4 linked regions of the Arabidopsis thaliana genome follow. The protein of the gene in region 1 interacts with the protein of each later gene in a pairwise test. Each region holds a gene or a part of one and is shown in the gene's direction. Other genes may lie near its edges.

Region 1 (3,066 bases):
TTTGATTGTGTAACAGAGTCATTTGTTTAAATGGGTTGAGGATGCTGTATACGAAGAGGTTGAAGATGTTTTACCAAAATTTGTGATCATTGCAAATGAGCTTAACAAAGCCAAATCCGAGGCAAATGAGCTAATTGTGATGATACATGAACTAAAAGAAGAAGCAATGTTGAGTAAACAAGAAATCTGCAAGTGGAAAGTGTGTTTGAAAATATGTTTTTTTGGCTTTGTTTGATCAGCATTTTCATTCTTTACATGATGCTTGGTAAGGCAAAAAAAAATGAATTTGTTGTTGCTTAATAGTGTAGGTCTATCTATCTTGTTGTCTTCGGCAAGCTTGTAATGACAATGTAGTATTTGTGACTTTTATGACTTTGTAATGTTGGCTTTGTTGCTGTCTTAATAAAACTTGTGAGTGTTTGGTCTTTATTTTTCTTGGGTGAATGTGAGTGTTTGGTCTTGATATAAGGTGTGAGTGTTTGGTCGGTGTGAGTGTTTGGTCTTGATATGAGAATCGGAGTAAAGAGATGGAATAATTTCACTCAAACAAAAACTTGTCTTAAAACTATGAGTGATTAAAAGTAGTTAACCAACATGTCTTAAAACTTGCCGAACCAAAAATCAAACAACAAAAGAGACAACAAAAGAGACATCTCAAGTTATGAAACAATCCAAATACCAACAACCAAAGACCAATCGATGTTCTCATGTCAAGTTTGAACACTCAAACCATGATCTCCATCCTTCTACTCCTTTTCGATTTTTTCCTTCTATTGTCACCATCTAACCTGTTACCATTCTGTTTCGATTTTTTTCTTCTCCTATTGTCAACGACAGAATGAGACGGCCTAGTAGAAGGCTCGTGAACAGCAGGAGCCTCGACAGAAGCACGTCATAGCTCAGCAACAGACGGAGGCTCGATAGCAACAGACGGAGGCTCTATGGAAGCAGACGGAGGCTCGATAGAAGCAGACGGAGGCTCGACAACAACATGAGGCGGCTCAACAACAGGAGGAGGCGGGTCGACATCAGCAGGCAGCTTCTTTCTCATCATTACAGTTTCGAATTTCTCTTCCTCGATCGACAAAAGAGAATTGAGAATTTTTGTTTTTTAGGGCTCGTGATTTTTCAAATCGAATTGGGGAAGTTCAGTCTTTTTGATAAAACGACGTCGTTTACTAAAACCGAAACTGTGTCGTTTGCAAATTATGTCTCTGTTAACGTCTAATTAACCCTGTCAATTAAGTCTGTTAACCCAGATAACGACAAGACTAAAATGGCGCGGTCAACACAAGTTTAAGATTTATTAGAAAAGTCAACAAAAGTTCGATGTTTTTTTCGTTTCAAATAAAGTACGGGATTTAAATCAACGTTTTAGCAAAGTTCAGGATTTTAATGACATTTTTCCCTTTGTTAATTCAATCATCATGTGATATGTGAAGATAATCTGCTGTATGTAGTAAATAAATTTTGAAGTCATCTGATTGTAATAATGTAATAATATATAGAAGTAAATGTTACTTATTGGGCTTCTCTATTTTACTAAGATGCAAATGAATTAATATTTTATAATTTATTTATTTTGTCCTAAGTATACATGTCTTTTTTGTCTTTTGTCTGAATCTTTCTCGTCGGAAACACAGATCTCAGTTCCTTACAGAAGAATCTCCGACTCGTTTCTTTGCCGGCATTCTCAGATTTCCGGATACTAGCCATGAGCAGTGATGGTTCCGCCGGAAAGGTACGTCTCCGTATTTGTAATTTCCGATGAAATCGAACTGTGTTTACCAATCACGCTCCTCTCTGATCCATAATTGGTTTTTAAGTTCCAAATCTCTGTTTATTATTGTTAGATCTGTTATGAGCTGAATAGAAGAAGATCATCAATTTAATCTGTTGCTTGTTGTGTTGTCTTGATCTTGATGATCCTCTCGCATGCATTGTTTATTTTGAACATGATCTGGTTATTTACAGGGAATTTCAATTGTATTCATGGATTAGTTTCGTTAGGTTTACATGATGTCAAATATCTCACTTTGGTATGGATTGTTGCATACATTGTTTGTGAATTTACAGGCGGTTGTTGAAGCCAAAGGATTGAACCCTGGATTGATAGTGCTGCTTGTTATTGGAGGTCTGCTTGTGACATTTCTCATAGCCAATTACGTTATGTACATGTATGCTCAGAAGAATCTACCTCCAAGGAAGAAGAAGCCTCTTTCCAAAAAGAAGCTCAAGCGTGAGAAGCTGAAGCAGGGAGTCCCTGTGCCCGGCGAATAGATTCCAGCTTCTTCAACAGTCTGTGTTTTTAACCTGTAATCACAATGTCATTGAGACTTTTGTATGGGAGAGTAGCAAACGTCCCTTGTTCTGTTTTGGTTAGACTACAAAAATTGAATCTCATCAACTTCTGTTTTCCCTTCACATATTTGATTGCAGTTGTAGAGTCTATCATGTTCACTTTACTTTATTTGTCCATATATCGTTGCCTTTTGTCGGATCCAAAGGGTTTCCCCAAAACTCTTACGTCAATGTTAGGCTTTGCGAATTGTGAAACAAATGAACATTTCAGACAATGTCAAAAGAAATGCGTAAGCAATAAAGATATACATATGTTTGTTTTTCGATAGCAAAAGAAAGACACACGACAAATTACATCCAGAGAAGGCCTTATTCAAAAAGTAAGCAAAAGACAAGGATCATGATTCAAGTTCCACAGAAACACTTGTTTTCACAACGTGTGTAAGCTTCAGTCGACTCAATATTACAAGTGCTCTTTAGACCACTCGACTCTATGTAAGCTTCACTTACGACCCATGGTTTGTTCTATGGGTGGCATCACAACAACGGTGGACTGAGCATTGAAACCTGGGTGAAGAACCTTCCTGCGGAGCTCACGCCCTTCTTGGCAAAGGGCACATGTATGGCAAAGGACATGTGTCACAAAGTCACAAGTCGTCTCCAAGTGTTCCCTTTGCATCTCGTCCTCTATGCAGCCACCGCAGCAACCACAAGACCTGTTCATAGCCTCAAAGCTTCCCTGTTTTTACCCAAAAGAGTTAATCA
Region 2 (4,212 bases), on another chromosome or scaffold:
ACCTTTTTTTCTTCGGTCGTTTTGTATAAGATCATATCAATTTTGATAAATATATTTATATGATCTTATGGGACTCGACTTCTCAACAATGTGTGTTTATGTCTGAAGCTTAAAAACTAGTTCTTAATTAATTTGTTACACGCTTGGTTTTGTTGTTGTTCAATTTCCACGTTTAGGGAGTGTTATTGGTTTGTGATTTTGAAAGAATTTTAGGCCATGATTGGTTGGGCTGTAAAAAGTTTTTAAAGCCACTAAAAAAGTTACAACCCCAAAATTAAACAATCATTCTTTAGCTTTTCTATTTTTTCTCAGAGCCCAAATAATATTTTTTAATTATTTTGTCTGTAAGTTCATGTTTTTCTAAAGCACAATTTTATGGTCTTTAGAAGGTCTATACCTTCTTTCTCTTTTTTTCACTTTTTTCTCATTTTTTTAAAAAACATTACTATAGTTTTCATATATATATATATATATTAAATTTAGTTTTATGGATATAAATAATAGGTAAATATCTACTTTATGACATATATATAACTTACATTGTTTATATATATATATTAAATTGATATTTGTGAATTCTATTATATAACACATAAGTACAATTTACCAATAATATTTTTTTGTTTAAATATACAGACAACCATGATCTTATTTCTACAACCAATTTCTTCAAGTAATAATATTAAATTAATAAAATCTACAGCCTAATTTCTACAGCAATAAAATCTATGGCTACAGTCATCACACATACAACAAAAATTCTACAGCAAAAATCTACAGTTACAGATGAACCAATCACACACTTAATGACTTTAAAAATATATTGAAAGTAGATAAATTAAAGATTTTCAATGATTACTAGAGAGTTTTGCATAATTTCTATGATTAGTTTTTCCAAAATCTTTTTAGGGGTTGTTATTGTTTGTGATTTATATGGATTTTTAGTGACTTGAAATGTCATGAAATTTTTTTTGTTATTCAATTAAAATTTTATAAGACTCTGTTAAAGTTTGGTGTTGTTAGATTTTGATTTGTAAAAAGTAACTTAAAGTCTTTGTAAATCTGGAGTTATTTGATTCATATTTTAATACAGTCATTACAAATTTTGTGTTATTCAACTTAAACAGTTTTCATGATTGTTAATGATTTAAAATATTGTGTTATTGGATTATGATTTTATACTCTTTTCTTCACAAATTAAAATCATGAAAAGTATCACAAAAAGAGAGAGATTGTGAATCATGACTTTGGATATAAACAAAAGCCAATGATACGAACAGATGCAGAAATCTTATTAACAGTGATGACAATATATATATTCTAATGGCTCAAGTTCCACATGTGCTCCGGTAATCTATGTGAAAATCAACACACAAACAACTTTTAGAACAAAGCAGTTTAATCTAACACATGAAAAGTAAATATCCAACAAAATATTTGAAAATAAAACTTCAAGTTCTTCATGGATGGTTCCCTGTTCATGTAACTTTACTTACGAATACCATAGTTTTTGTGTTTATGCGTGTGATTTTCACTTTAGTGGAGATACCTTCTATAGAAGATGGAAGAATAGTATACAATATTTTGGTGATATGTTATAATTTTGGAGAAATCACAAATCAAAGTTTATAATTATATTCAGGGAGATTTTACAAGATTATAAAAAGAGTTTTAATGACTTTAAAAATATATTGAAAGTAGATAAATTAAAGATTTTAAATGATTACTAGAGAGTTTTGTATAATTTCTATGATTAGTTTTTCCAAAATTTTGTAAAGTCTTCTTATCCAGGGAGATTTTACAAGATTTTCAATAATCTTGTAATTTTCAATAAAATCAATTCAATATAACTTTAGATGTTTAGTAGTTCAATTAAGATAAGACTGAACATAATAATTATTTTGTTACTCAATCCAATTTAAAACCTAAATAACTTGGTCCCAAAATTGTTTATATCAAGATGATCAAGTACAAAATTCAAAAAAACTTGATCAAGTCCAAAACTCAAAAAATAAACAAGTAAGATATATTTACTGTTATATCAAGTAAAAACAAAGCAACTATTATTAGTAAACAAAAACAAACTCAAAAACAAGAATCTCCCCTGAAGATACTCAAACAACGTTTTTTTTAATCAATCTTATAATCTGTATTTTACTTAGTCTTCTTTACTAGAGAAATATCCGGCTTATATACCAGACTACTTCTCCTTCTTCCCTTCTCTCATTTCCCAAAAACCATTAACACACAGACACACTAACGCACACATCTCTCATTTTCAAAATCCTCATTTTCATTTCTCAATTCTCCAGAGTCTCTTGTTCTGTTCCCATCGAATGAGCAATACAAAACACATCCACAAAGGGTTACAGGAGAGGCTTTTAGATCTTCTCTTGATCGCTCTTATAGTTTACATGACTCTTAAAGGCGGCACGAGTGGGGCTTGTGCCGCGTGCAAGTACCAACGTAGACGCTGCGCCGCGGACTGCCCCCTCGCGCCTTACTTCCCAGCCGAACAACCGAAACTTTTCCAAAACGTTCACAGGCTATTCGGCGTAAGAAGTATCGTCAAGATCCTCGAAAAACTAGACGAAACTCAGAAACCAGAAGCAATGAAATCAATCATCTTCCAGTCTTATGTCCGTGACCGTTCTCCTGTCCACGGTTGCCTCGGCGTCACGCAACAACTTCAATACATGATCTGGTTTGCTGAAGAAGAACTCAAAGCTGTCAATTCTCAATTACAACTATATCGCTCTCAACCACAAAACGGTCAAAATCAAAACCAAAACCATAATCATAATCAGATGATTCATGAGCTTGGTAGTGATCATAATAAGCAGCAAGAAGATGTTACATCGCAGCAGCTTGACTTGGGTATGGGACTTAACGTTAACAATAATCAGAGCAATGTCGTTACACCATTCTTTAGTTCATTATTACCAGTTTCCGAAACACAACAGCCACAAATGTCTTACACTTATAGCTGCAGTGAGGTTAACAACAATGGCTATAGTCCTCCTGCTTATAATACAGATTCGGGCAAGGAGATTCTGACCAACAATAACAATGTTTGGGGTGATCAGAATCGATTTCTGTATAACAACAACAATGGAGGAGGATACAGCAACCAAAACGAGAGCTGTCATGAGATGAAGAGTAACGGTGTAATGGCAATACAATCACAGCTCGTAAATCTGCAAATGGTATCAAATCATCAGCGAGTGGAAGAAGAAGAAGCTGATCATGAATACGATGAACTCCATCAGTTTCTTGATATCATTGACGATAGGCAATCATTTGGGGATTCTAAAGAAGCGTAGGCCTCAAGGTAGGGGTTTTTTCCTTTGTAAAACTATGAAATATGTATTTTCTTCTTCTTCTGTAGATATGGTGATTGAATTGGAGTATATTGGTGGTTGTAGCTCTGGTGGATCGTTGAAGGAACAGATTGATGAAATTGGAGAGAATGAATTGAGAAGTGCAGCTACTTGTTTCAGTCTAACCAGTGTGAATAATTGAATTGATTTCTCAATTCGTGATCCCTAATTATGCTCTCGAAATTTTGTTATACTTTTGTTGACATTTTATTATTATCTTTTAGTCAGAGACTTAAAGGTTATGAATTCAGAGTTTCTCTAATTTTAATAATATATCTTTTTGGAGTCTCTAATGAACTTGAATATTAGTGCAACGTAACTCTATTTGCTTTATTTTTCTTGGGTTTTTAACTTGTTATTCAAGGGACGCTTCTCTGCTAAAATCTAACATGGCTGAGTGAAGAAGAGAGACACAAGACAAATGTTAATGATGCATTAGCTCCCGAGGATACTCACATTACTCAGGTAATTATACTAGACTTCCACTTATTTATGAAACTCAAAAATGTAATGTTGATCTTGTGTTGAACCTTGAGGAAATAATCAAGAAACTGTGTGTGTTAGTAGGTTAGATGTTGGATCCCGAACTAATACCTAAAGTATCATGCTCCCTAGAAGCTGAAGCCATGTTCATAGGACTACACTAAGTTTTGGAAATATAGGCTACAAGCATGTGATTGTATTCCTCGAATCTGATTCCAAAGAGATGGTTAGAGCAGCCCTACGAATGGCTTCAGCCTTCAGCTTAAAATTGTGTCACATTCAGTTGGTTGTACAAGAACTCTAGTAATCATGGCAGAATATTCTCGAGTGTAATGGTTCAAGAATAATT
Region 3 (4,366 bases), on another chromosome or scaffold:
ATCTGATAATCAGGGGTGTTCCAGTTTTACCATCGACAAACTTTTTCAAAGTAAATGTATCCACTGTCTGTCCTAATCTAAAGCTGAACAATTAAGGGTTTTAAGCCTCAAAATATATATTTCATTTTGAAAGCACCAAAACTATAAATTTCTTGTAGGACAGTGATTTTTCCGGGTTTTTTTGTTTCTCATGTTATAGGTTTAAGTCTCCAATGCATCATTTTGCTATATTTTAAATATTTATAGGCAAAAAATATTTTGGGTTTTAGGACCAACTCTGAGTGTAGCCGTTGAATAGTCCATTCATCGGATTTTTAATAAACCTTAAACATGACACCAGGTCAAAATAAGAATGATTTAGAAATTGATTCATAACCTAACCTACATAATAATTCTTCCTAAAATAAGACAAAATGTCACACGAAATTATACAGTTTGAGATTTTTCTAAACCACTTTAACATAGAAAAGTCTACAAAATTCTACTAATGGTGTAATAGAGACGTACTTTGATAAAACGTAAATCATTCTTTCAAATAGAGTTGAACTACTGATATTCTCAAAGTCAAACCACCAACATCCACTTGGTTTGCAAGTGTTATGTTTCTCTCTCACTAGATATTCTCTTGATAAAAGGTTTTGCACAAGTGTACTAATATATGCAAAAATAAAGGACCCACCAAAATATGCAACTTGAATTTGGATAGATTCTTATCCAAAAATCAGAAGTTTAGTACATTTCTCTAATCTAACTTCACTTACAAAACTATATATTATGTTCCTCTCGGATCTCTCCTTTCCTTTGTAAAATGCAAATGGGAATATTAAATGGACCCATGAAATGAAGTTACGTTACAAAACCGACGACAACTATAATATTTATTATTTATATATTCTTGTGATGCAGATCAAAATTTAAATTGACTAAAATACCCCTTGCCACGTCAGTCTGACTTGGATTTGCCCCAAAAAGCGTTGAAAAAAATATTATTAAATCCAATAAGGCATAAACAAATATTATTACATGTATATTTTAAATATTACTTTAAGCTCCTCATATTCTTCTGTTTTTATCAATTATACACCAACATTTGTTGTTTATAAATATGAACCCCTAATCGTCCCCTTTCAAACGTGGAATATAAGATCGATATATATTACACATTTGAGTAAACAATTAGGCAATGAAGTTTGTGAAGGAGACTGCATTTCTGATAATCTTAATAATTTTTGTTTTCTTAATAATATTATTTATTTTTTTTATAAAATGGTCTGAAAAATTACAATCATTACATCGTTTCTAACGGTTTTTTCTTTCTTAAAGAATCGTTTTTAAATTTAAAATTTTCGATTATTTTTGATTTTTACCGCTAATCTTGGAATTTATCTTGAGTGCTCAAGAGTGAGTAAAATCCCTTACCTCGAAAAATCCCTTTATGGTAGAGGACGTTGGTGATAGTAACAATTTTTTCTCGTAGCTCGGTCATTGTGTCGGCCATTGTGAGATCGAAGAAAGATATTGAGATAAGGTGGGTTAAGCAGTAGATTCTCCGTTTTCCATTGTCCACTAGGATACAATTTTCTTTTTTGACTCTGATCAGTTTTTTCTATTTTAATTTGTGTATCTTAATATTATTATTCGTTGTAACTGTAGGCGAATCTCACCTTTTTTAAAAACATGTTTTAAGAAAGAAAAAAAAAAGTTTGACACTTTAATTATTTTTTCCATTCTATATATCTTATAAACTAAAAATTGTTCTAAAAAGTAGAAAAATTAGTATAACTAAAACCATATTTCCAGATACTTTTTTCCTTTTATTTATTATTAGTTCTGTTGTTAATAAAAATCGTTATAATTTTTTGTATTATGACCTGTCGTTTTTTAAGATACTACAAGAAAACAGTGACCTAACAGAATAAATCAAAAGTTTTTGCTGTAAATAGAAATACACGACTCTTGTCGGGGCCATTAGGGTAATAATCAGACAATTAAATATCTAACAAAACAACAAAACTTGAAAAGAACATATTATTAAAATGCAAGACTGCCCAATCGGATAAGAAGAAACTGTTTTGACAATTTGAAACCAAAAAAAAATAAATAAAACTAAAGAAACAAACAAATTACAAAAGAGAAAAGATGGAAAAAGTTTTCTCCGACGAAGAAATCTCCGGTAACCATCACTGGTCGGTTAATGGAATGACGTCGTTGAATCGCAGTGCTTCCGAATGGGCATTCAATCGTTTCATACAAGAATCCTCCGCCGCTGCAGACGACGGAGAATCTACGACGGCGTGTGGTGTTTCCGTCTCCTCTCCTCCTAATGTTCCTGTAGATTCAGAGGAATACAGAGCATTTCTCAAGAGTAAACTTAATCTTGCTTGTGCTGCTGTCGCCATGAAAAGGGTACTCACTACTCTGCTCAAGTTTGAGTTTTTTTTTTTTTCATAGAAAAAGAAAAACAAAACCTTTTTATCTGTTAGTTTGATGAGTTCACTTGAAGCTAAGAAACTAATCTTGTTTTGTTATGTTTGAGTGTTAAGATCTTATTGGACCTTTTGTATATGATTTGCCATTATCTTCCTTGAGATTATAATTTGCATTAGTTAATTGATTTTGTGGTGTTAATATTGAAAATTTGATAGGGAACTTTCATCAAACCTCAGGATACTTCTGGTAGATCTGACAATGGTGGAGCCAATGAATCAGAACAAGCCTCTCTTGCTTCTTCCAAAGGTTTTACAATACATCTATGATAAGCCTTTTAAGATGTTATTGATAGTTGTTGTGTTTGTTTTCAAGATTTCTTGTAAATGCTAATGGACCAATCTGTATGCAGCTACACCAATGATGAGCAGTGCTATAACAAGTGGATCTGAGCTCTCTGGTGATGAAGAAGAAGCTGATGGTGAAACTAATATGAACCCTACTAATGTTAAACGCGTTAAAAGGTAACAAATTTACATCCTTTCTTGGACTTGAACATGAACATGAACGTGAATTTGTTTGTTATAGGATGCTCTCTAATAGAGAATCAGCTAGACGGTCCAGAAGAAGAAAGCAAGCACACTTGAGTGAGCTAGAGACACAAGTATGTTACTCTCGCAGCGTTCTTATTCTTTCTCCTTTAACTTTGTTTAGCTCACTTGTGCGACAATCTCCATTTCGTGTAGGTTTCACAGCTTCGTGTAGAGAATTCAAAACTCATGAAGGGTCTCACTGATGTAACTCAAACATTCAATGATGCATCTGTAGAAAACAGAGTTTTAAAAGCCAATATTGAGACACTACGAGCAAAGGTAAAATACTTTCTTTTATCTCTCTGTCTACCAAAACTCGCTATTGAAGCATGTTTGTTTTTGGCAGGTGAAAATGGCTGAAGAGACAGTGAAGAGACTCACTGGCTTTAACCCAATGTTCCACAATATGCCTCAGATTGTTTCAACTGTCTCTCTTCCTTCAGAGACATCAAATTCTCCAGACACTACAAGCAGCCAAGTGACTACACCAGAGATCATTAGCTCGGGGAACAAAGGCAAGGCCTTGATAGGGTGCAAGATGAACAGAACAGCTTCGATGCGTAGAGTTGAGAGCTTGGAACATCTGCAGAAACGTATTCGAAGCGTTGGGGATCAGTAGCTGTTAAAGAAGAATCTTGATTTGTAACATTAATCTTAAGACATATGTTAAGACAAAATGTTGTATGTTTTTGTAAAGAATTGTTTTTTCAGATTATTTAAATTTTTTTTTGTCTTCTTCGTTGATTGTTTGTGTTGAACTTCTAATTTTCATTGTACATGTCTTTTGTTAAATTTACAAAGTTTTTCTAATTTCTGTTAAGAATTACAAGTTTTATCAATTTCACCTAGTGAAACTATTGAAATGGTGATGAGGCAACGATGCAAACGTATAATTTTGGTTATTGAAACTAGAAATTACGAGTTTAATCCCAAATTTCGGCTCTTAGAATCGGGTTTCTATCAATAATTTTTGTTTAAATCCGAATTAGATTATAAATATATATATAAATAAAATAACTATAATTAAACCTTATTAATTTATATTTTTTTTCAAAGTAACCTTTAAATTATGATTTAAGATATTCAATTATGTTCGTTTTTTCGTATCGATTATTTTGATTTGGTTCAGATCGGATAAAACATCTCTAATAAGAATTAATATGCTCTTTTGTAGAATTAATATTCATGAAATATTTAGAAATTTTGTATATTATATAAAATTTAGGAGTACTTTTGACGTATTTTTTTTTGTCGACAATTTCTTTGATTACTAACCCAAAAGGGCAAATTATAAGAGAAGTATAGGTGAAATTTGTGGATCCAAAACCCCATGATATAAGTCCAAA
Region 4 (5,599 bases), on another chromosome or scaffold:
CTCTAATACCATGATTTCTTTCAAACAGAGGTAGTTTATACAGACTTTTGCATAAAAGTGGAGCAAGGGAGCAATTAGATGAGAGACGTCGCCTGAGTATGGCTTATGATGTGGTATGTTTAATTCCTTATGTTACATGTATGGGTGATTACTTCCTGATCTTGGTGTTTCTTCACATGGAACTTTCTTTCCAATTCTCTGTCACAGGCTAAGGGAATGAATTATCTTCACAATCGCAATCCTCCAATTGTGCATAGAGATCTAAAATCTCCAAACTTATTGGTTGACAAAAAATATACAGTCAAGGTTTGAATCTAAATTAGAAATTGTTGTGTCCAATGTTTTGATTTTGATATTTTATTCCTCTTGTGAGACAAGCTTATATATAAATTATGATTTTTAATTCTAAATTGGTTTGGAGACATTACAAAAAGGCGTTAATCTGCTGAAACTTAAAAGATACAGCAGCCTCAAGCTGTCGTCTTAAAAACAATCAGAACATTATTATTCTAACTCCTCAATTTGTCTTGAAATTTCAGGTTTGTGATTTTGGTCTCTCGCGATTGAAGGCCAGCACGTTTCTTTCCTCGAAGTCAGCAGCTGGAACCGTAAGTTCAGTTTGTTTGAAACTAAAACACGCTGAACAACGTAACTTTCTTCTAGGTCCTATTTCCAATGGAAGCTAAATAATTACTGACTTTGATATATCAGCCCGAGTGGATGGCACCAGAAGTCCTGCGAGATGAGCCGTCTAATGAAAAGTCAGATGTGTACAGCTTCGGGGTCATCTTGTGGGAGCTTGCTACATTGCAACAACCATGGGGTAACTTAAATCCGGCTCAGGTACTTTCCACTCTAAACATCTCAAATAATAATGATATTATTTTGCATTTGGAAGTCCCTCACTCTACATTTCATAACATGCTATATATGATCATACAAAAAAATGTTCCATAGGTTGTAGCTGCGGTTGGTTTCAAGTGTAAACGGCTGGAGATCCCGCGTAATCTGAATCCTCAGGTTGCAGCCATAATCGAGGGTTGTTGGACCAAGTACGTTAAGATTTTCTATCTCTTTTTTGAATTCTTCTTGAATAGACTTCATGTTTATGTATGTGTTTCATTACCAGTGAGCCATGGAAGCGTCCATCATTTGCAACTATAATGGACTTGCTAAGACCATTGATCAAATCAGCGGTTCCTCCGCCCAACCGCTCGGATTTGTAAAATACCCCCGGTCCATTCAAAAGTTGTTATAATCATGATATGCACATATACTCTCAGCATTCTTTTGCTGCCCAGGAGGGAGACACTAGTTAAGATATAGCTTTAAAGGTACATTCCTCATGAGCTATCAATCATATCCTACAGAATCCCATGGTTTTTATACATGTATTATTTTTGCGATCTTTGTCTGCTGTTTTGTTCCCTTTTTAATGTTGCAGATTGTTAAAATGTACATGACTATTGTCACAGGGAGGAAAAAAAAATGTAGTAATGGAAACAATGTGAGGGATATAATCTATCTATCTAGTCCCAAAGGGTAAGCAATATTTTGTTGTTATGTCTTTGTAGCAATGCACTGAAAGCTATATTTAATTACATTGCTGTACATTTATACCGCTAAATTAGTTACTAAGCGAAGGTAAAAAAGAGCAGCTGGTAAATGCTGTCAAAGGGTTTTGCAAACTCAATATGATTCATTGGATTTACATTTGTTCACTGTGCGATTAGTCTGGACTATAAACCAACAGAAATGAAATAAGACTGTAACTTTCGGAGACTCTAATACAGATGAATATAATCCCAAATCGTTAAAAACGCATTGGGACTGAAAATATCTAGATACATAGTCAACTATTTTTGCCTTCGCGTCTAAGTAAGTTCCCACACTTGAAAACGACTTTACCTGTCTTCCGAATTAATCGTTTGATGGATCGGTAACCAATAGGATTGCGTAAATCAAAATTATACAATATTAAATTCTGAAAAAGGAAACACGAAAAGCGAATCAGTGATTTGTGAGGGCCCAGTTCCAAATTAGAAAGCTGACCTGGCAAACGCGCTAAATCACTCCTCCTTTCAAAAATCTCAAGATGACGTGGGACCCACCATCGTCACCACTTTCTCTCCTTCACCAAATCACAGAGAGAGAGAGCTAAGTGAAGCTGCAAGGAAACAACTTTCAATTTCAATGTCGGTTGTACAATTATTTGTCACTAAAGTTTCCAAATTTCTTCTAAACTGATGAATCAATGGAACATGATGACGAAAAAGATAAATCCACGGTGGCGGGAACTGACCCACCCATTTCCACCGCCTCTCTATTCCCCAGATTTTTTTCAATTATCTGACTACAGTTTGTCGGTTACTTCCTTCCCTAAACCTTTATAAACCATTAAACCTCTCATCCTTCTTCTCTTAAACCCCCTAATTATCACACACACCCCAATTTCTCACTCTCTCTCTCACTAAAACCCGTAAATTTTCTACTATATCAAATGAGCCCAAAAAAAGATGCTGTTTCTAAACCAACTCCAATTTCAGTACCCGTTTCGAGACGATCCGATATACCCGGGTCTCTCTACGTCGACACTGACATGGGTTTCTCTGGGTCACCACTTCCCATGCCACTAGACATCTTACAAGGGAATCCAATTCCACCTTTTTTATCCAAGACTTTTGATTTGGTTGATGACCCGACTCTTGACCCGGTCATCTCTTGGGGACTGACCGGAGCTAGCTTCGTAGTTTGGGATCCTCTAGAGTTTGCCAGAATCATACTTCCAAGGAATTTCAAACACAACAATTTCTCCAGCTTCGTCAGACAGCTTAACACTTATGTAATCATCTCTCTTGCTCTGTTTCTGTTTTCTAGATAGACTCATTCTTCTTCTTCTTCTTCTTCTTTCAGTTTTGTTTTGTTTTTATGTTTCTGTAATCTTTTTGATGACCAAAACCATTTTGTATAGATTCTTGAAACTCGTTTTTTGATAACTTGTAAAAAATTACCTGTAATTTTCTTTTCTTTTTGGGATTTGTTTAATCTCTCTATCATGTAACACTGAGTTTTGTATCTATGAAATTTTGGCCTCGATTGGATCTTATAATAACTTCTCATCTGAAATAAGCTTGTAATCTTGTATACTTATGGTTTCGTTTGAATGGAGAATTTTGGTTTATGAAGTTTTGTTATTTTCTCACAATGTTAACTTCAGTCTGGTTTAAGACATCATTACTCACATGTTCTTCACACTTCAGAGGTAGAATCTTTCTAATATCTTGAGATATTTGGTCTTGTCTTGATGTAAATGTGTTTACTTACTTTATCTTGAGCTTGTTTGAGTTGTTTTTTTGGGGTTGGAATGTTTCCAGGGATTTCGAAAGATTGATACTGACAAGTGGGAATTCGCTAACGAGGCTTTCCTTAGAGGCAAGAAGCATCTTCTGAAGAACATTCATCGTCGTCGATCACCACAATCCAACCAAACTTGCTGCAGTAGCACTAGCCAAAGCCAAGGGTCACCTACTGAGGTTGGAGGAGAGATTGAGAAGCTGAGGAAAGAGCGGCGTGCATTGATGGAGGAAATGGTTGAGCTTCAGCAGCAAAGCAGAGGCACAGCTCGACATGTGGACACTGTAAACCAGAGGCTGAAAGCTGCAGAGCAACGTCAGAAGCAATTGCTCTCTTTCTTGGCTAAGTTGTTTCAGAACCGGGGTTTCTTGGAACGCCTGAAGAACTTCAAAGGAAAAGAAAAAGGAGGAGCTCTTGGATTGGAAAAGGCGAGAAAGAAGTTCATCAAGCACCACCAGCAGCCTCAAGATTCTCCAACAGGAGGGGAGGTGGTGAAGTATGAAGCTGATGATTGGGAGAGATTGCTAATGTATGACGAAGAGACTGAGAACACCAAGGGTTTAGGAGGGATGACTTCAAGCGATCCAAAAGGCAAGAACTTGATGTATCCATCAGAAGAAGAGATGAGCAAACCAGATTACTTGATGTCCTTCCCATCTCCTGAAGGACTTATTAAACAAGAAGAGACGACATGGAGCATGGGTTTCGATACTACAATACCGAGTTTCAGCAACACCGATGCATGGGGAAACACAATGGACTATAATGATGTCTCAGAGTTTGGTTTTGCTGCAGAAACAACAAGTGATGGTTTGCCTGATGTCTGCTGGGAACAATTTGCTGCAGGAATCACAGAGACTGGATTCAACTGGCCAACTGGTGATGATGATGATAATACGCCAATGAATGATCCTTAGGATCTTTTCATATATAGTTTAGACCAAAAACCCGTTTCTTATCGGGTGAACTATTAATTCATTATTCATTTTGAATGCACTCTTTATACATATATATAATATTGATGAGTTTGATTGTTCCTTTCTTATTCACTTAATCCAGGGTCTAATAACATTGATTATGAAGGATATATAACACAAAATTATGCTTTTATCTGCTTGAGTAATTAAAATTTTTGCAGGTCTGAAGTGGAACAATGTTTCTTTAAAAGGATTTTTCTCTCTGAAGCTGTCTGGTTTAATCATTTATGTCCCAGGTACGAATGCAAAAGCTCTTTCCTCTCTCTCTCTGTCTTCTTCTTCTTCTTCTTCTTCTTCTTCTTCTTCTTCTTCTTCTTCTTCTTCTTCTTCTTCTTCTTCTTCTTCTTCTTCTTCTTCTTCTTCTTCTTCTTCTTCTTCTTCTTCTTCTTCTTCTTCTTCTTCTTCTTCTTCTTCTTCTTCTTCTTCTTCTTCTTCTTCTTCTTCTTCTTCTTCTTCTCCTTTGCTTGTCTGTTGGGGTATGTTTTGTGTCTTGATTGAAGGAATTTGTACCGGTTTATAACAGATTTATAAACTAATTACAAATTCAATAGCCAGTATTCATGTAATCTCGTCTCACGTTTAGCTAACCTGACGATTACACATAGAAGAAACGGTAGGAAACGAAGAAAAATGATGAAACCAAAAGATTTTTTTTAAAAAAAGAAAAACCTAAATGCAGGAAACGAAGCGCAGAGAACGAAGAAGAAGAAGAAGGAAGATAGGAGATTTTTACCCCAGAACTCCATTGTCTTGAGAGGTACTGTGACCTGAAGGAGACGATGCGTCAAAGAAGAAAGTTCTCGAAGAAGATGATAGCGGTTTCGTCTCTCGAGCGCAGTTTTTACTTTTTAGGGCGTGAACTTGCCGTGAAGTGAAGGCTATTAATCGGACCAAGGGATTTTAGGGCATGTCCCTGTCATTTAAATCTATGCAAATCGGTTATATTCATACTTTGAAATTTTACTATCAAAAAGTTGATATGGCCGAGTTGGTCTAAGGCGCCAGATTAAGGTTCTGGTCCGAAAGGGCGTGGGTTCAAATCCCACTGTCAACATTAATTTTTTCTTACTTGGGCTTATTTAGTTTCGGCCCATCGAATATAGATTGTTGCAAGTGAATCTAGCAGGCCATTATAATGAAATTAAAAATTAACAGTGGGCTTTAAATGCCCATTTTGATATAAAATATATGATGACTGCAAAAATATTCGAAATCAGAAAATTAAGACCAAATGAACATATTCAGTGAATAGTCTGTTAGATGCCATA

What was found.
Region 2: the proteins of AT2G37120 (region 1) and LBD27 interact in a two-hybrid assay, tested with the Arabidopsis thaliana proteins (one large-scale study listed by BioGRID).
Region 3: the proteins of AT2G37120 (region 1) and BZO2H3 interact in a two-hybrid assay, tested with the Arabidopsis thaliana proteins (one large-scale study listed by BioGRID).
Region 4: the proteins of AT2G37120 (region 1) and HSFA3 interact in a two-hybrid assay, tested with the Arabidopsis thaliana proteins (one large-scale study listed by BioGRID).

The regions. Positions count from the first base shown.
Region 1 is NC_003071.7:15,593,464-15,596,529, reverse strand, and holds AT2G37120 (S1FA-like DNA-binding protein), read left to right. Parts: upstream 1-1,568; 5' UTR 1,569-1,714; coding exon 1,715-1,741; intron 1,742-2,076; coding exon 2,077-2,280; 3' UTR 2,281-2,566; downstream 2,567-3,066. Other genes in the region: AT2G37125 (GRF zinc finger protein), read left to right, coding at 17-235; AT2G37110 (PLAC8 family protein), read right to left, coding at 2,804-3,040. UniProt on the Arabidopsis thaliana protein: DNA-binding protein that specifically recognizes a negative element (S1F) within the RPS1 promoter.
Region 2 is NC_003074.8:17,659,132-17,663,343, reverse strand, and holds LBD27 (LOB domain-containing protein 27), read left to right. Parts: upstream 1-1,989; 5' UTR 1,990-2,336; coding exon 2,337-3,323; 3' UTR 3,324-3,331; intron 3,332-3,425; 3' UTR 3,426-3,664; downstream 3,665-4,212.
Region 3 is NC_003076.8:10,795,921-10,800,286, reverse strand, and holds BZO2H3 (bZIP transcription factor family protein), read left to right. Parts: upstream 1-1,981; 5' UTR 1,982-2,139; coding exon 2,140-2,406; intron 2,407-2,645; coding exon 2,646-2,736; intron 2,737-2,839; coding exon 2,840-2,951; intron 2,952-3,015; coding exon 3,016-3,091; coding exon of another isoform or gene 3,092-3,173; coding exon 3,174-3,299; coding exon of another isoform or gene 3,300-3,366; coding exon 3,367-3,639; 3' UTR 3,640-3,830; downstream 3,831-4,366. UniProt on the Arabidopsis thaliana protein: Transcription factor involved in controlling responses to starvation. BZIP2-BZIP63-KIN10 complex binds to the ETFQO promoter to up-regulate its transcription.
Region 4 is NC_003076.8:970,585-976,183, reverse strand, and holds HSFA3 (heat shock transcription factor A3), read left to right. Parts: upstream 1-1,857; 5' UTR 1,858-2,500; coding exon 2,501-2,842; intron 2,843-3,374; coding exon 3,375-4,271; 3' UTR 4,272-4,556; coding exon of another isoform or gene 4,557-4,789; intron 4,790-5,010; 3' UTR 5,011-5,042; downstream 5,043-5,599. Other genes in the region: CTR1 (Protein kinase superfamily protein), read left to right, coding at 29-113, 208-306, 540-608, 712-843, 958-1,052, 1,130-1,226; AT5G03710 (replication factor C large subunit), read right to left, coding at 4,557-4,789, 5,065-5,077. UniProt on the Arabidopsis thaliana protein: Transcriptional activator that specifically binds DNA sequence 5'-AGAAnnTTCT-3' known as heat shock promoter elements (HSE). Involved in heat stress response. Activated by DREB2A under heat stress.